Linked DNA regions of Saccharomyces cerevisiae S288C. The gene in region 2 interacts genetically with the main gene of each other region. Each region holds a gene or a part of one and is shown on either strand. Other genes may lie near its edges.

Evidence for each region.
Region 1: mutations in VRG4 (region 2) and HLR1 together harm fitness more than expected from each alone (negative genetic interaction), as found in Saccharomyces cerevisiae (one large-scale study listed by BioGRID).
Region 3: mutations in VRG4 (region 2) and RCE1 together harm fitness more than expected from each alone (negative genetic interaction), as found in Saccharomyces cerevisiae (one large-scale study listed by BioGRID).
Region 4: mutations in VRG4 (region 2) and NCP1 together harm fitness less than expected from each alone (positive genetic interaction), as found in Saccharomyces cerevisiae (one large-scale study listed by BioGRID).

Annotation. Positions count from the first base shown.
Region 1 is NC_001136.10:1,492,880-1,496,364, forward strand, and holds HLR1 (Hlr1p), read left to right. Parts: upstream 1-1,706; coding exon 1,707-2,978; downstream 2,979-3,485. Other genes in the region: QCR7 (ubiquinol--cytochrome-c reductase subunit 7), read right to left, coding at 3,286-3,485.
Region 2 is NC_001139.9:75,309-78,436, reverse strand, and holds VRG4 (GDP-mannose transporter), read right to left. Parts: upstream 1,544-3,128; coding exon 530-1,543; downstream 1-529. Other genes in the region: SDT1 (nucleotidase), read left to right, coding at 1-422. UniProt on the Saccharomyces cerevisiae protein: Involved in the import of GDP-mannose from the cytoplasm into the Golgi lumen. Defective copy causes severe glycosylation defect and abnormal retention of soluble endoplasmic reticulum proteins. Involved in vanadate sensitivity.
Region 3 is NC_001145.3:813,862-817,086, forward strand, and holds RCE1 (CAAX prenyl protease), read right to left. Parts: upstream 1,451-3,225; coding exon 503-1,450; downstream 1-502. Other genes in the region: ZDS1 (Zds1p), read right to left, coding at 1-119; ubiquitin-ubiquitin ligase BUL1, read right to left, coding at 1,790-3,225. UniProt on the Saccharomyces cerevisiae protein: Protease involved in the processing of a variety of prenylated proteins containing the C-terminal CAAX motif, where C is a cysteine modified with an isoprenoid lipid, A is an aliphatic amino acid and X is any C-terminal amino acid.
Region 4 is NC_001140.6:188,580-193,190, forward strand, and holds NCP1 (NADPH--hemoprotein reductase), read left to right. Parts: upstream 1-1,963; coding exon 1,964-4,039; downstream 4,040-4,611. Other genes in the region: BCD1 (Bcd1p), read left to right, coding at 1-445; SRB2 (Srb2p), read right to left, coding at 552-1,170, 1,272-1,285; DOG2 (2-deoxyglucose-6-phosphatase), read right to left, coding at 4,226-4,611. UniProt on the Saccharomyces cerevisiae protein: This enzyme is required for electron transfer from NADP to cytochrome P450 in microsomes. It can also provide electron transfer to heme oxygenase and cytochrome B5. Involved in ergosterol biosynthesis.

The DNA.
Region 1 (3,485 bases), on a different chromosome or scaffold from region 2:
TCTCCAAAGCAAACATTAAGTCACTGATCAACAGAGAACAATGGTTTATCTTTGCACATTGACACATTCATCGAGGGTTTCAAAGCACTTAAAAAGAGCATGATTCAGTTCAAAAAAATGATCCTCGACAAACTTAAGTTGTGCAATTCACATCAGCATATCCATATAAAGCTTATAGTGTGATGATGAGTACTCTCATTAACTAGCTCTGTTATTCAAACTTTAAACTTCGGATACTTGACTGCTCTCTTCGTTTGTAAGTAGCTTGATTGTAGTTACATCGTCGTTCTCATCGCATCTTTTTTTATTAGTTATGAAAAATTTTTCACTTTTCACCTAGTTAGGATACCCGGCTGGATTCTTTTGTACTAACCTCTATGGATTTCGTGGTCCTCTCATGTCACGTCAAAATTTCAGATCATATGTCAGGGTAACATTTATGCACTCGGAGATTGTCAAACTTATTGACGCAAGCATTTACTATTTTTCCGCACAAGCACCATGTGTGATAACATGCAGATCGCCCATCTGAGCAGTAATATCTAGTCATTATATAGTCTATCAAATGTTATACTTCCAGAATTTTTCGCCTCGGCCCAAACATGTACATTTTCTTGGTGGCTTTTTTATTCTGGCTTTCTTTTCCTCTAACGTTCAACATGGTTGAAAATGCTCTCAAGTCAAATAATAAAACACAATCATAAGAATTCAAAGATGTGCATGAGAACTCTTAACAATACATATTTTTACTGAAACACTTTGGTTAGCATCTTGTGATTACTTTATTTATATAACCTAGTCGCCCCTCCCCTGTCTGTACTGTTCTTGCAGGTAAATTCAGGAAATAATACATCCTCCACGACTACAACATGTGCAAGTACTATCCATAATAGGTGTAATCATAGAGAAGCAGTCCTAAGGAAATAAAATCAAAGAAATTAGGTAAAGGTTGGGTATTGATAGATGAAAATGTTTTTGCAAGTTAAAAAGGAAAATATGCACATTCTCTTATAACCAAATTCGTCTGACATCGATATATCTTTTCATATAAAGTTCTTCCCCTTTACCATTCACTCCATGATGTCGTACCTGTTACACTACAGTGCCTGCTTGATTGCGCATTCATAATGGCTGTACACCGTTTACCCAATGCATTCTCGTCTGCAAAGAGAAGGATATACATCTTTTTCTGGTAATAACATGTACCGATTAGGAAATTAAGACCCTGCTTTCACGCGTGCTCCTACCATTTCCGGTAATAAAAGTTCGGGTAAGATTTCTTTTCCAAACGAGCTTACGTGTCGCATCGACAAATATGGCGAGTGCTCTTATATAAGTAGGCAACATCTAAAAAGAATGGACATCTTTTTTTTCAGTGTGAAGACGTTATCGTGTGAGTATTAATAAAGAGTTGTAATTTGATAATAAGATAACCAAGGAGTAAATATATAAAGTTCACCACTGCTCTGTTATCTCTTTTTTATAGAGTTCGGAAATCCTCACAGATTATAACCAACTAATCGTCATTCATTTCAAAAAAAAAAAAAAAGGAAGAATTAGAGCTCTTCCACAATAGTGGCTATTCCAGGCATAATTTCAAATCAAGTGGCAATTTTACGCTCCTCATTCATTTTCCTGTATTATACTTTAATTATTCTTATTTCGCTTTTTTTCTCAAGGTGACCTGTTGTATCACGTTAGCTGAAATGGAAAACTTATGCCCTCCACCTCCTTCCCAAATGAAGGATTTTTCCACTCCTCCAAGAAACAGGCATCGTCACAAAAGATCCTTTGCTATATCTGGAGATTTTGAATTCTTAAAACAACCTGCCTCTGCGCCTGTTTTGCCTTCTGCGTACGACTCACCTACCTTCGAAAATACACCAAGAAGAGTAAGCGGTATGAGCGTAACAATGCCTGATGAATCTCAAAATGAATCAGCATTACTAAACTCACCAAGCCCAAGGTTTTTTATTAGCGAAGCATCCACATATTCATCACCAATTAAAGGAGTGCCGGACGCTATCATTAATTTGGATGATGTGCTCATTAATAAACCAAAAATGTGTAGATCACATCGCAAAACCAAATCAGTACCAGTAAAATTGGACGAATTTTATTCCTCCCATAAATGTAGCTCAGTACCAGAATTAACTATAAATGAAGAAATAGATGAAGATGACACCAACCCTCAGTTGCTGGAGCCCGTAAAACCATTATCATCAACTTCTCTATCTACTGATATGAATGAAGATAAAAAAATGACACTAAAAAATGCCAGGAGCCATAACTCGTTAAAAATTCAGGCACAAAAGCAAAGGTACTACAACTCAGCAAGGTATCTGCCTTTGAATAGTGAGGACCGAGCAACAGATCCACAAATTTTAACGAAGCAAAGCTCTGTTACGTCTTTATTTTCTTCTAGGTCAATTACACCTGTATCTTGTAACATTAACAATGCGGGTAGAATCAATGCAATCAGTGGTAATTATCTAGATGACGTCCTTTATGACCTTGACACCCCTGCCACAACTCTAATTCAGGATATTGATAACCTTCAAACTAGTATCAACGAAAGGGTTAGGTTGTCACCACAATCCTCGTCGATAAAAAAGTATTTTTCCAAAGATGGAAAATCTGTTAGCAGCTTCAATTTCCAGTCTCAGGAGTGCGATATGGTATCTTTTACTGAGGATTTTGCCCATGTAACATCATTGTCTTCTTCTATTCTTGACTCTGAGAAACAAACAGACGACGAAGAAGAAGAGAGTATTCCGGAAGAAATACTACGAGGAGAACCCCTCCACGTATACAACGAAACTAGTGGATCTGATAAAAGTGTCATTTTGCCGACGAAACAAAAATCTGCTCCCATTAACAAGGATAGTAAGCACAGTTCAACTCAGTATGAAGAAAAATCTTTTAAGAAGAATAGAAAGTTCAAAATTTTCGCCAAGTTATTCTGCACTAGGAAATAGTAGAATAAATTTAAGATATATAGACCACTCGATACCCCATCACCTGCATAATTATAGAAAAAATAAATACTAATAGATACCCGATTTATAACACTAGACATTACAATATACGAATTTCATAATAAAATTTTAAGTTCAGACTATAGATAAATAAATAATATGAAGTAAACGTTTCAAGCAAACGCTTATATATATATAGAGAGATAATAAAGGATATGATTTAGTCTCTGTCCCTTCTTTCAAATGAATATTTAATGCCTTTTTTTTTTCGGGTTGTGTGTTCGTGGTGATTTTTTTATTCTTCTTTTCATTTGGAGACCTCTATGTTGTCTAACTCGTCCTTCTCCTTAGCTGCAGCTTCAGCTTCTAATATGTATGGCAACAGGTAAGGAACATCCTCTTGGGCTTTGATCCATTCGTTTCTTGGCAGTAAATGATGAGTCAACTCGGTTTGATGAGCCCTGATTATTCTATATGCTCTGGCATAAGATTCATCTTCAGGGAGTC
Region 2 (3,128 bases):
CTGATATACCATTAAGGAATATGCTGTTGAGATTGAGACAATCGGGAAAGATTGATAAATTGTGGCTTTTCACCAACGCTTATAAAAACCACGCAATACGTTGCCTGAGATTGTTGGGTATAGCGGATTTATTTGATGGATTGACATATTGTGACTACTCTAGGACAGATACGCTGGTCTGCAAACCACATGTTAAAGCATTTGAAAAAGCCATGAAGGAAAGCGGGTTGGCAAGATACGAGAATGCTTATTTTATAGATGACAGTGGGAAAAACATCGAGACAGGTATCAAATTGGGCATGAAAACATGTATTCATTTAGTTGAGAATGAAGTAAATGAAATTTTGGGGCAAACACCAGAAGGCGCTATTGTCATTAGTGATATATTGGAGTTACCACACGTTGTGTCCGACCTGTTCTAAGGTATATCAATTTTAAGTATAATTGTATATAAATCTACTTGCATTAGATGCCTCTATAAAATAAAATAAACCAAAAAAAAAAAATAAATTGCACCCCCCGTAAGTTCTCATTTACGTAAAGGTTGGGCTTGTTGCTTCTTTTGTTTGGCAACAGCATAAATAATACCTGATAGGAAACCAATAAAAATGGAGAGAATAGATAAGAAGTTTCTTGGAGCATCAAAGAAAATCAAACCAGACAAGGCAATTGGCAGCTTGTTCAAAGCCCCTACCATCGAATATGTAGTAGACGAAGTAACACGAACACACCAACCGGAACAGTAAGAAATACCGACGGATGCAACACCACTGATGATCATAGCAGTTAGCGAATCGTTAGAAAAGTTATTGGTCAAATTAACTGAAGACCAATCTTCCACACAGAAAGAAAACAGCAATAGAATAGGTAGAGCCAAAACATTGTTGTAAAACATAGTGTCGAAATCCTTGAAGTTAGTTAACTTAATTCTCTTTCTCATTATAAGAACGAATAATGCAGAAGTGATACAGTTGGTGAACATCCAGAAATAACCTGGGTTAAAGGAGGCAACAGCACCGGCTGCTCCTTCAGCCAATGAAGCAGCCTTGGCAGCCACAGCTTGCTGGTCACCCCAAGTTGCAACGACAGAAGAAAGGACCATCAACAAAAATGATGACAATTCCATGGAGGTGACAGAGCCACCAAAAAAGAGAACCTCACCATAAGCAATCAAGATAATAGTCAAATTCTTGAAAATGGTGTAAATTGGAACAGCCAAGTATTGTAAAGCCTTCGAAGAGGTGTAGATCATCAAGACCAGTAAAAAGGAAATAGGGAACCAGTTCTTGGCGTCTGTTTTGTTTAATGAACGGAACTTCGCATAGCCCAGTATACGTAGGATAATCAAGGTTATAGTACAAACCAAAGATTGCACGAAAAGCATGACAAAGTTCATGTTGAAATCCTTCAAATTGACGACGAACTTGTTAGTCACCGTCATTAAAATAGAGGAACCACAGTAGGATAAAATAGAGATCGGACCGGAATTGGCAACTGAAGCCCAAGGGTTATGGCCTGCATGACCTGTTTTCAATTCAGACATTCGGGCGAAAGATACTGTGTGGTTAGTGTGTTTGTTTTCTTAGGCTCTTTTGGTAATTAAGAGGATGTCAACAATTAATCGGCAACAAGAAATAGGCTTGGCAGCGTTATATATATTCTGTTTTTCTGTTCATTGTTTGTTCGGATCGCGAAATTTCAATTTTTTTCTTTCTTTTTTTTTTTTTCGGCCAAAACTATTATCCAAGGCTGGGTAAGAGGATTCTGAAAAACCCGTTTAGCTTTTCGTATATTGCGATTCATTACGCGTTTAGGCGACGTGTCTTCTTTCGTCAACTGTGATATTTTTCGTGTTATGGGCGGCTAATTCTTTATAAAAAGGGAAATTTAATCATTATGGCAAACTCAAATGGTGTTCCTACATCTATATACCACCATGCCACTTTGTACCACCAGTCATATATTTTCTTCTACTCATAAGGGAGCCGCATATATATATGGCGCACATTGCCATGGTCCATTACAAGCTTTTTTCTCGTAGCACTTTAGAATGTCTATTGAGTTGCAATATTCAGGCAAAAATGCGTTCTATCTTCAGAATGTAGCTGTTGAAATTGTTGTTTGACTTTTTTTGGACTAGTAGCCGTCTTATCGAACCAAATAGAAGCATATGTTACCTCATTATTCTCTCAATATGGTATTGGAGCGGGTGTGGGTGTGTTCCTTTTGTTCTTAAACGATAGGTACGCATTAAACACCGCTTATGCAGATGGTACATCATATACTGCTTATACCCTTTCCTACTTCAGATGAATATGCAAAACATGTACCGCAATGATGCGAGAGTAACTTTAACAAGAGCTCTTTCGCGTGTGTAGCGATAATATTCAGGGGCGACAAGTGTAGTAATGAAGATATAGTTCTCACCGGTACCTAGATGTCACTACTCGGACACCAGATTACTGTAGCAAGCAAGGTCAATGTCGAGACTAAGCATGATCATAAGTATTGGCGCCCGACATTGCATTTTTTTCCTTGAGATCATATCACAGTGCATGCCATCACAAATAGTTACTTTGATTATTTCAGTGCCATCGCATGACTTCAGTTTTATTACACCTTTAATGATGTAAAAGCGCCGTCAAGATACTAATATAGACGCACGAGTTTCGTTCGCGCGTCTTGGTGAGATTGAAAAGTTATTTTGCCTTTCTTGTCGAGATGATGGTATTTCCCTTTTTTATTTAACATTCATTAATTCCTACCTGTAGTTATCAACCTTTACAGCAACGCAAGTGAAGTGGCTTACTATATAAGCGTAACTCCAATGTGCTTGGTTAGTTTTGGAAAATTTCAAGGCGTTGTTGCAGAATTGTACCTTTAAACATGTCTACAACAACTATGTGGATGTAGCATCTCTATCATGACGCAAACGCAAACATCTCTCTCTCTCTCTCTCTCTAAGTCGCATGTTAAGGCCGATAGTACTGGTTTAACAGGGTTTGCCAAGGCCTCAATCGTTAAGTTAGCTTCTCCACTTTCCCCAGCATCAATCTTATGGTATGATCAACAATCTACGAGGAATTGCAGAAATGATACCTGTATCACAAAGGAATTTGCGTATCATA
Region 3 (3,225 bases), on a different chromosome or scaffold from region 2:
TCATTGTCAAGGGACTGTGCAGCAATCAAAACTTCAGACTTCCGTTTATCCCTTTGACTAGCGATCGCCTTATCGCTTGATGTAGTACGCAGCATGCTCTCGTTATCTCTATTGGACATTATAAAAGACAGCTAAATTCTCCTTTGAATTGAAAATATGTAACCCACAAAACAAACCAAAACTAACTAAGACCTTAAATTCTAGGAGACCAAATAAAAACCTTAAAAAAAGAAAAACGTCGAAACCTATTAGATGCCACCTTCTCTCTACTCTTAGATCTGACAACTTCAATACCACTGACACGAACGACTTGTTATTGAGTCCGTAATACAAAGTATAGGTACTTTATAGTCCTCCAAATTCTTTCACCAAAACACCAAAACTCGATTTTTTCACTCTTCCGTAACAAAAGCCCGGTCGCTCGATAGAATTCCATAATAGTAGTGAAAAAAGGTTATAGTACATAGGAAATTTTAAACGGTATACAAGTACGTAAAAAAGGCTAAAGGGTTATTCTATAACCAGGAGTTCCTACCAGAGTTTGTAAGGTATCCTTCAGGGATATTAATCCAAGGACCAGCAGTGCGAAGTAGCACTTATTCCAGATTGAGACCAATTTGGAAATGCGTCCAGCTTTCTTGTCTACTACTGTGAAATGTAAATTCAATCTTGAAGGACCAGGAAACCCCATGATATTGCAAAGGGCATGCAGGATTATGCAGCACCATAGGTTCCCGCCTGTTCTTACGAATACAAACTTGGTTAACCCTCCAAAAAGTGTTGTGTATAAAATTTGGAAGCATGTTGTCAGCAGAATGGAAACAGTTGTCATGGAGCCTTCCTGTAATTGCTCATAAGCATGGTGTGCGTGCGCAAGTCCAAAAAAAAGCGATGGTTGCCAAAATAACTGTTGATAGCTTAGTTGCGAATGCGGTATTAGGTTTAAGTACGTAGTCAAAAGCATTGACGTGTAAAATATTTCCTCAGTTATTGGTGCAAATATAAAATTCCTGAAACTCCAAATATTCAGGAATTCATGGTAAAAATCTTCAAGTATAGAGCTCTTTGGATTTAATAAATGATATAATACAAAATCTAAAACGGGTCCACAATATAAGGTCAATAACATCGCAACACATTTCGTTAAGTCTTTCACGAACTGGCTGAATTGCCAAGGGTTTGGCAATGCAGCGTAATAACCTGGGATAATACCTAAGCCTAAAAATGCGTCCTTGAAACTTATATGTGAAGTGGTACTAGATAATTGAGATTGTAAAAAAGGCACCAAAAAAAGGTTGGAAATTAGCATAATTGTAAGTTTTTGCATGCGAGATTTAATCGTTCGAGGATTATCTCGTTTAGACCCTTCTGGTTGTGAAGTTGCATATAGCGGTAGCACATAGGATATGGAGATGTATAGGAGCACTAGAAATGTTGAGAATTGTAGCATTGCTGTTCTGGTTCTCTCTATGACAGACAGTCAGTAGTCAAAGCATCAATTTATTTCGTTTTATTTTTCTTGACAAAGAAAATTCTATGTTTTGTTCCTGAAATCTCGATATTTTAGTAACTTAAAATAAAGGTAATAAAATCATCAAAGGTTTTCCATCCAGTGGTCCAAAAAAAAAAAAATACAGAAGCAACAAAAGAGCACCAGAAAATGCATTTTAAAAGAATTTTATTAATAATAGGGAATACAAAGGACGCGATAAATACCTTCATCTATAAGCAAACCATACATATATCTATATCTATAAGAAAAGTAACGAGAATTTTTTCTAATGTTTTTTTATTTTGTCACTTGCCTAACAGAAATAGGGATATCAATCTTCGCTACGCCAAGATGGTTTTCAAATTTAATCATTACTCGAACGCAATAAAACCTACAACATAGGCAGCTTTCAAAACTTGGAATTAAAGTTTCCTTAATGTCCTTATTAAATTCCAAGTTCACATTAATGTCTCGTTTGTACTGTAAAGGAGCAATCCTAACCCATTTATGAACAATCTGGTCTGTAAATTTCAGGGAAGTAGACGAGCTACCGCTAGGTAAAAATAAACTACTCTTGGATGAAGAAGTTACTGGCGTTAATGACGCTGAACTGGGCGACGATGAACTACCGTTACCTGTGTGCGATATTGAATCCTCAGATAATGCGTGCTTTGAGTGTTGTTTTAGGGTACTGACCTGTTTTTTAAAAATGTTGGATAAGTTGTGAACACTAACTTTCAAGTTGCAAATGCTTTCGATATCGTTAAACAGCTGTGAAGTAATAAAATCTGTAAATTTCAGTTCCTTTGGCCTACGGTCTCCCCTATTCATATTATATAACTCATTTAATTCAAGAAAATTCTTGTTGAACTTGGTTTCATATTCACAAATTTTTGAATGGAAATCATCGTACAAAGCTTTGATGCTTGTCAGCTTCTCTTTGTTCATCAACAGTTCAGAATTGAGTTTTATTGGGATAGAATTATCAGATTTAGCAGTTATACATATCAGTTCTGTGGTAATCGATTGAATTTCTGGCGGATCATGAGGTAAGCTATTATCGGATTCTATGCAAGTCAATTGTAAATCAAGTTTTTCCAATGGTTTTTTTACGTCTTCCGGAATCAACTCAGACAATCTCACCCAATTTTCTTGGTCGTGTTTACTCTTAGATTCAAAAACATTGGTCTTTCTCAATAATGAGGGAGCCCAATATGGTAGGCCCTGTTTTGGAATTTTCGCCTTTACTAGTATTAGCCCTGTCCTTTCTTTATTTCCCGTTAAATCATGATTATTCTTTCCCGCATTTGAGGAAGAGGACATTGAGCTGGAACTGCTGTTTAAAAAATGAGAGAAGTTCAGAAATGAGGAGGAATTGGATTTGTTTTTCAGTTTATATTTTAGTTCACTTTCAACAAAGGGACCCCAAGCTCTGGAAGTATCGGTATTATGACCACTATTTCCACTGCGGCCATTGTCCAAATCGTGGCCCAACTTCAAATCGTTATAGTTGACTAAATAGTTATTTCTGTTCTTAATGTGCAGTTGGTCCAATTTCCTCTGCAAAATTTCTTGGGAGTCTGATTCAATAGAATCATCAATGGTACCACTCAAGTCTGCACCGTGAATGTCGCGGTTCGTTATGGGTTCTTTTTTCTCTAATCTCTGAAAGATTTTTCTAAGAGCATCCAACCTTTCCTGCACTAGTTTGGTGATATCATTCAGCTGACTCA
Region 4 (4,611 bases), on a different chromosome or scaffold from region 2:
GGGCGAAGACGGTTCGGAGACCAAAGAGGAAAGAACACAGATCCTACAGAAGAGTGGGCTCAAATTCTACACGAAAACGTTCCCTTACAACACCACGCATATAATGGATTCAAAAAAACTGGTGGAGTTGGCTATACATGAGAAATGCATCGGAGAATTGTTGAAGAACACCACAGTGATCGAGTTTCCCACGATATTCGTTGCCATGACAGAGGCTGACCTACCAGAGGGCTACGAGGTGCTACACCAGGAACCCCGCCCACTTGAGCATACGAGTACACTGAACAAGTTTATTGACAATGCAAGGGAGGAGGAAGACGCTGAAGAGGACTCTCAACCGACAGAAGAACCTGTACAGAAGGAAACACAGGACGCCAGCGACAGCGACAGCGACAGCGACGATGACTACAATCCGGGCTTATCCATGGATTTCCTCACTGCATGAGCCGAGATACATAAGGTTGAAGATTACTATTTAGACTATCTATCTATACGTATACACCGCAATATACAAACAGAAAAAAAAAAAAAGAAAAAGCATTCGTAAGAACTCACAGCTCCAGAGCACGAACATACTGGTACGCCAAATCACATATTTCGTTGCTGGTGTCCGGCCCCAACGAGTCGGATGAGGTTTTGTACTCCTTGGCCCGGATTTCAGCTAGGTGTCCTTCGATGCCTGCAATCTTGGTCTCAAACTCGCCCGCTTCGTCCGCCTGCAGTTCTATCAGGAGACCCTTGAACCCAGTGGAGGAGAAGAGGTTGACGAGTCGCACGGTGAGCCCGTCCAAGATCAACGTCTCACCGGCATCACCCTTGATGAGCTGCCTCTGCATCCAGATGTTGGACAGCTTGGACGACAAAATAGTGTCTATGGACTCAGGAACGCCCGTAGATGAGCCATTGAACACCAGCGCCGGAGGGATATCCGCCGCTGCGGCAGTCGTCACCATCGCTGAGTTGTCCTTGATTAGCACGGTCTGCCGGCCATGGTGGTGGAACGTTATCGAGTACATGAGCTTGGAGACATCCGCGGGTAGGTTCTTGATAGAGCACCGGTACGTCCGAAAGTCTATCGACCAAGGGTCTCGCACGGACAGGATACTATTCGAGAGAGCATCCTTCAGTTCCGTTAGTGTAGCGGGAGTGGCTCTTTCCACGAATATAACGCTATATACATAAAAGAGAGAAAAAAAAAACTGTTGTTAGCAACAGGTAGTTCAATTGAAGAAATTCCGATGCGCCACGAAGGACGCTCCAGCTTTACATACGCTGATTTTCCCATGATGGATTGCTACTGTGCTTTCGAGCGCCGACTTACAAGATTTGCTCTTCCAGTAAAATTTCACTTTGGGAATCACACCGCGAAACTGGCATACTAACGCATAAGAAAACACAAGAAGAGAAACAACGATAAAATCACGCGGCGACATCTACAGTCCACCTGCCCCTTCCTTCGCTCAATTGCACTTTCCCATGCGCACTACCCATCTATATAGCTATGTATTCTATATCCACGCCTGCAAACGCACACTGTTCGTCCTCAGCCTCTATGCGTACGAGCCAGACCCTTGCTCCCAGTAGATAACGCACGCAAAACTCAAAAGATGGCACACCGGGGGAACAAAGGAGAGTAGAGTCTACCGAACGTCACCGCTGGTACCATGCAGCCATCACTACATACTAGCATCATACTACCACGATCACAGTTCACGACACATCACGTGTGTGCTCGTTTAGCGGTCAACCCGCTATTGTTCTCCAGCCAGCTTTTATCGTTTTGCATTTTTTTTTCGGGCTGCTTTTCGTTCTTCGAGGACAAACGCACCTGTAAAGCTCAGCGCGAGGTTATATATATAGTATAATATGGTGAACAATGTAGCTTAAGTTTGCGTTCCTGTAGTGGTCACCGCTACGCTAGACAACGACCGCGGTTTTCAAGTGATCTACTGTCGCACATATCATGCCGTTTGGAATAGACAACACCGACTTCACTGTCCTGGCGGGGCTAGTGCTTGCCGTGCTACTGTACGTAAAGAGAAACTCCATCAAGGAACTGCTGATGTCCGATGACGGAGATATCACAGCTGTCAGCTCGGGCAACAGAGACATTGCTCAGGTGGTGACCGAAAACAACAAGAACTACTTGGTGTTGTATGCGTCGCAGACTGGGACTGCCGAGGATTACGCCAAAAAGTTTTCCAAGGAGCTGGTGGCCAAGTTCAACCTAAACGTGATGTGCGCAGATGTTGAGAACTACGACTTTGAGTCGCTAAACGATGTGCCCGTCATAGTCTCGATTTTTATCTCTACATATGGTGAAGGAGACTTCCCCGACGGGGCGGTCAACTTTGAAGACTTTATTTGTAATGCGGAAGCGGGTGCACTATCGAACCTGAGGTATAATATGTTTGGTCTGGGAAATTCTACTTATGAATTCTTTAATGGTGCCGCCAAGAAGGCCGAGAAGCATCTCTCCGCCGCGGGCGCTATCAGACTAGGCAAGCTCGGTGAAGCTGATGATGGTGCAGGAACTACAGACGAAGATTACATGGCCTGGAAGGACTCCATCCTGGAGGTTTTGAAAGACGAACTGCATTTGGACGAACAGGAAGCCAAGTTCACCTCTCAATTCCAGTACACTGTGTTGAACGAAATCACTGACTCCATGTCGCTTGGTGAACCCTCTGCTCACTATTTGCCCTCGCATCAGTTGAACCGCAACGCAGACGGCATCCAATTGGGTCCCTTCGATTTGTCTCAACCGTATATTGCACCCATCGTGAAATCTCGCGAACTGTTCTCTTCCAATGACCGTAATTGCATCCACTCTGAATTTGACTTGTCCGGCTCTAACATCAAGTACTCCACTGGTGACCATCTTGCTGTTTGGCCTTCCAACCCATTGGAAAAGGTCGAACAGTTCTTATCCATATTCAACCTGGACCCTGAAACCATTTTTGACTTGAAGCCCCTGGATCCCACCGTCAAAGTGCCCTTCCCAACGCCAACTACTATTGGCGCTGCTATTAAACACTATTTGGAAATTACAGGACCTGTCTCCAGACAATTGTTTTCATCTTTGATTCAGTTCGCCCCCAACGCTGACGTCAAGGAAAAATTGACTCTGCTTTCGAAAGACAAGGACCAATTCGCCGTCGAGATAACCTCCAAATATTTCAACATCGCAGATGCTCTGAAATATTTGTCTGATGGCGCCAAATGGGACACCGTACCCATGCAATTCTTGGTCGAATCAGTTCCCCAAATGACTCCTCGTTACTACTCTATCTCTTCCTCTTCTCTGTCTGAAAAGCAAACCGTCCATGTCACCTCCATTGTGGAAAACTTTCCTAACCCAGAATTGCCTGATGCTCCTCCAGTTGTTGGTGTTACGACTAACTTGTTAAGAAACATTCAATTGGCTCAAAACAATGTTAACATTGCCGAAACTAACCTACCTGTTCACTACGATTTAAATGGCCCACGTAAACTTTTCGCCAATTACAAATTGCCCGTCCACGTTCGTCGTTCTAACTTCAGATTGCCTTCCAACCCTTCCACCCCAGTTATCATGATCGGTCCAGGTACCGGTGTTGCCCCATTCCGTGGGTTTATCAGAGAGCGTGTCGCGTTCCTCGAATCACAAAAGAAGGGCGGTAACAACGTTTCGCTAGGTAAGCATATACTGTTTTATGGATCCCGTAACACTGATGATTTCTTGTACCAGGACGAATGGCCAGAATACGCCAAAAAATTGGATGGTTCGTTCGAAATGGTCGTGGCCCATTCCAGGTTGCCAAACACCAAAAAAGTTTATGTTCAAGATAAATTAAAGGATTACGAAGACCAAGTATTTGAAATGATTAACAACGGTGCATTTATCTACGTCTGTGGTGATGCAAAGGGTATGGCCAAGGGTGTGTCAACCGCATTGGTTGGCATCTTATCCCGTGGTAAATCCATTACCACTGATGAAGCAACAGAGCTAATCAAGATGCTCAAGACTTCAGGTAGATACCAAGAAGATGTCTGGTAATCAGCCCACTGATCAAGCCTTCGGCGCGGTTGTTCAACCACACGATCTGTATCAAAGAAAAATAAGTTAGATAACCAAAAAAAAAAAAAATTTCATACTCACTATAAGAAATCATACGCAGTTCAACTTTTGCTTTTACATACAATTTTATCTATATATTCGTGCTTCTGCGATGTCCTTATTTATTTAATCTCTCGTCAAAGGGTTGTTTACCTGGATAACGATACCGTTCTCATTGTTCTTAACCACGGAAACCTGTGTCAAATCACAGACCACATAATCTGCACCTGCGTCAAATAAAACGCTCTTATCATACGAGGATGTTATACCCACAGTAATTGCGCCCATTGCTTTGCCGGCCTTTATGCCCACGGGTGCATCTTCAAAGACAACATACTTCAGATCCTGTTTACCAGTTAATTGCAAATCTTGACGCAATAAATCACGAGCTCTTGAGTAACCCTCGGGATCAGGCTTACCGTTCTTCACGTCAAATCCAGTAATGAAAACTTTGGGCTTTCCAACATTTTTCAATATTGTCTCGAACCATGAAAATGCCAAATATGGAGAAC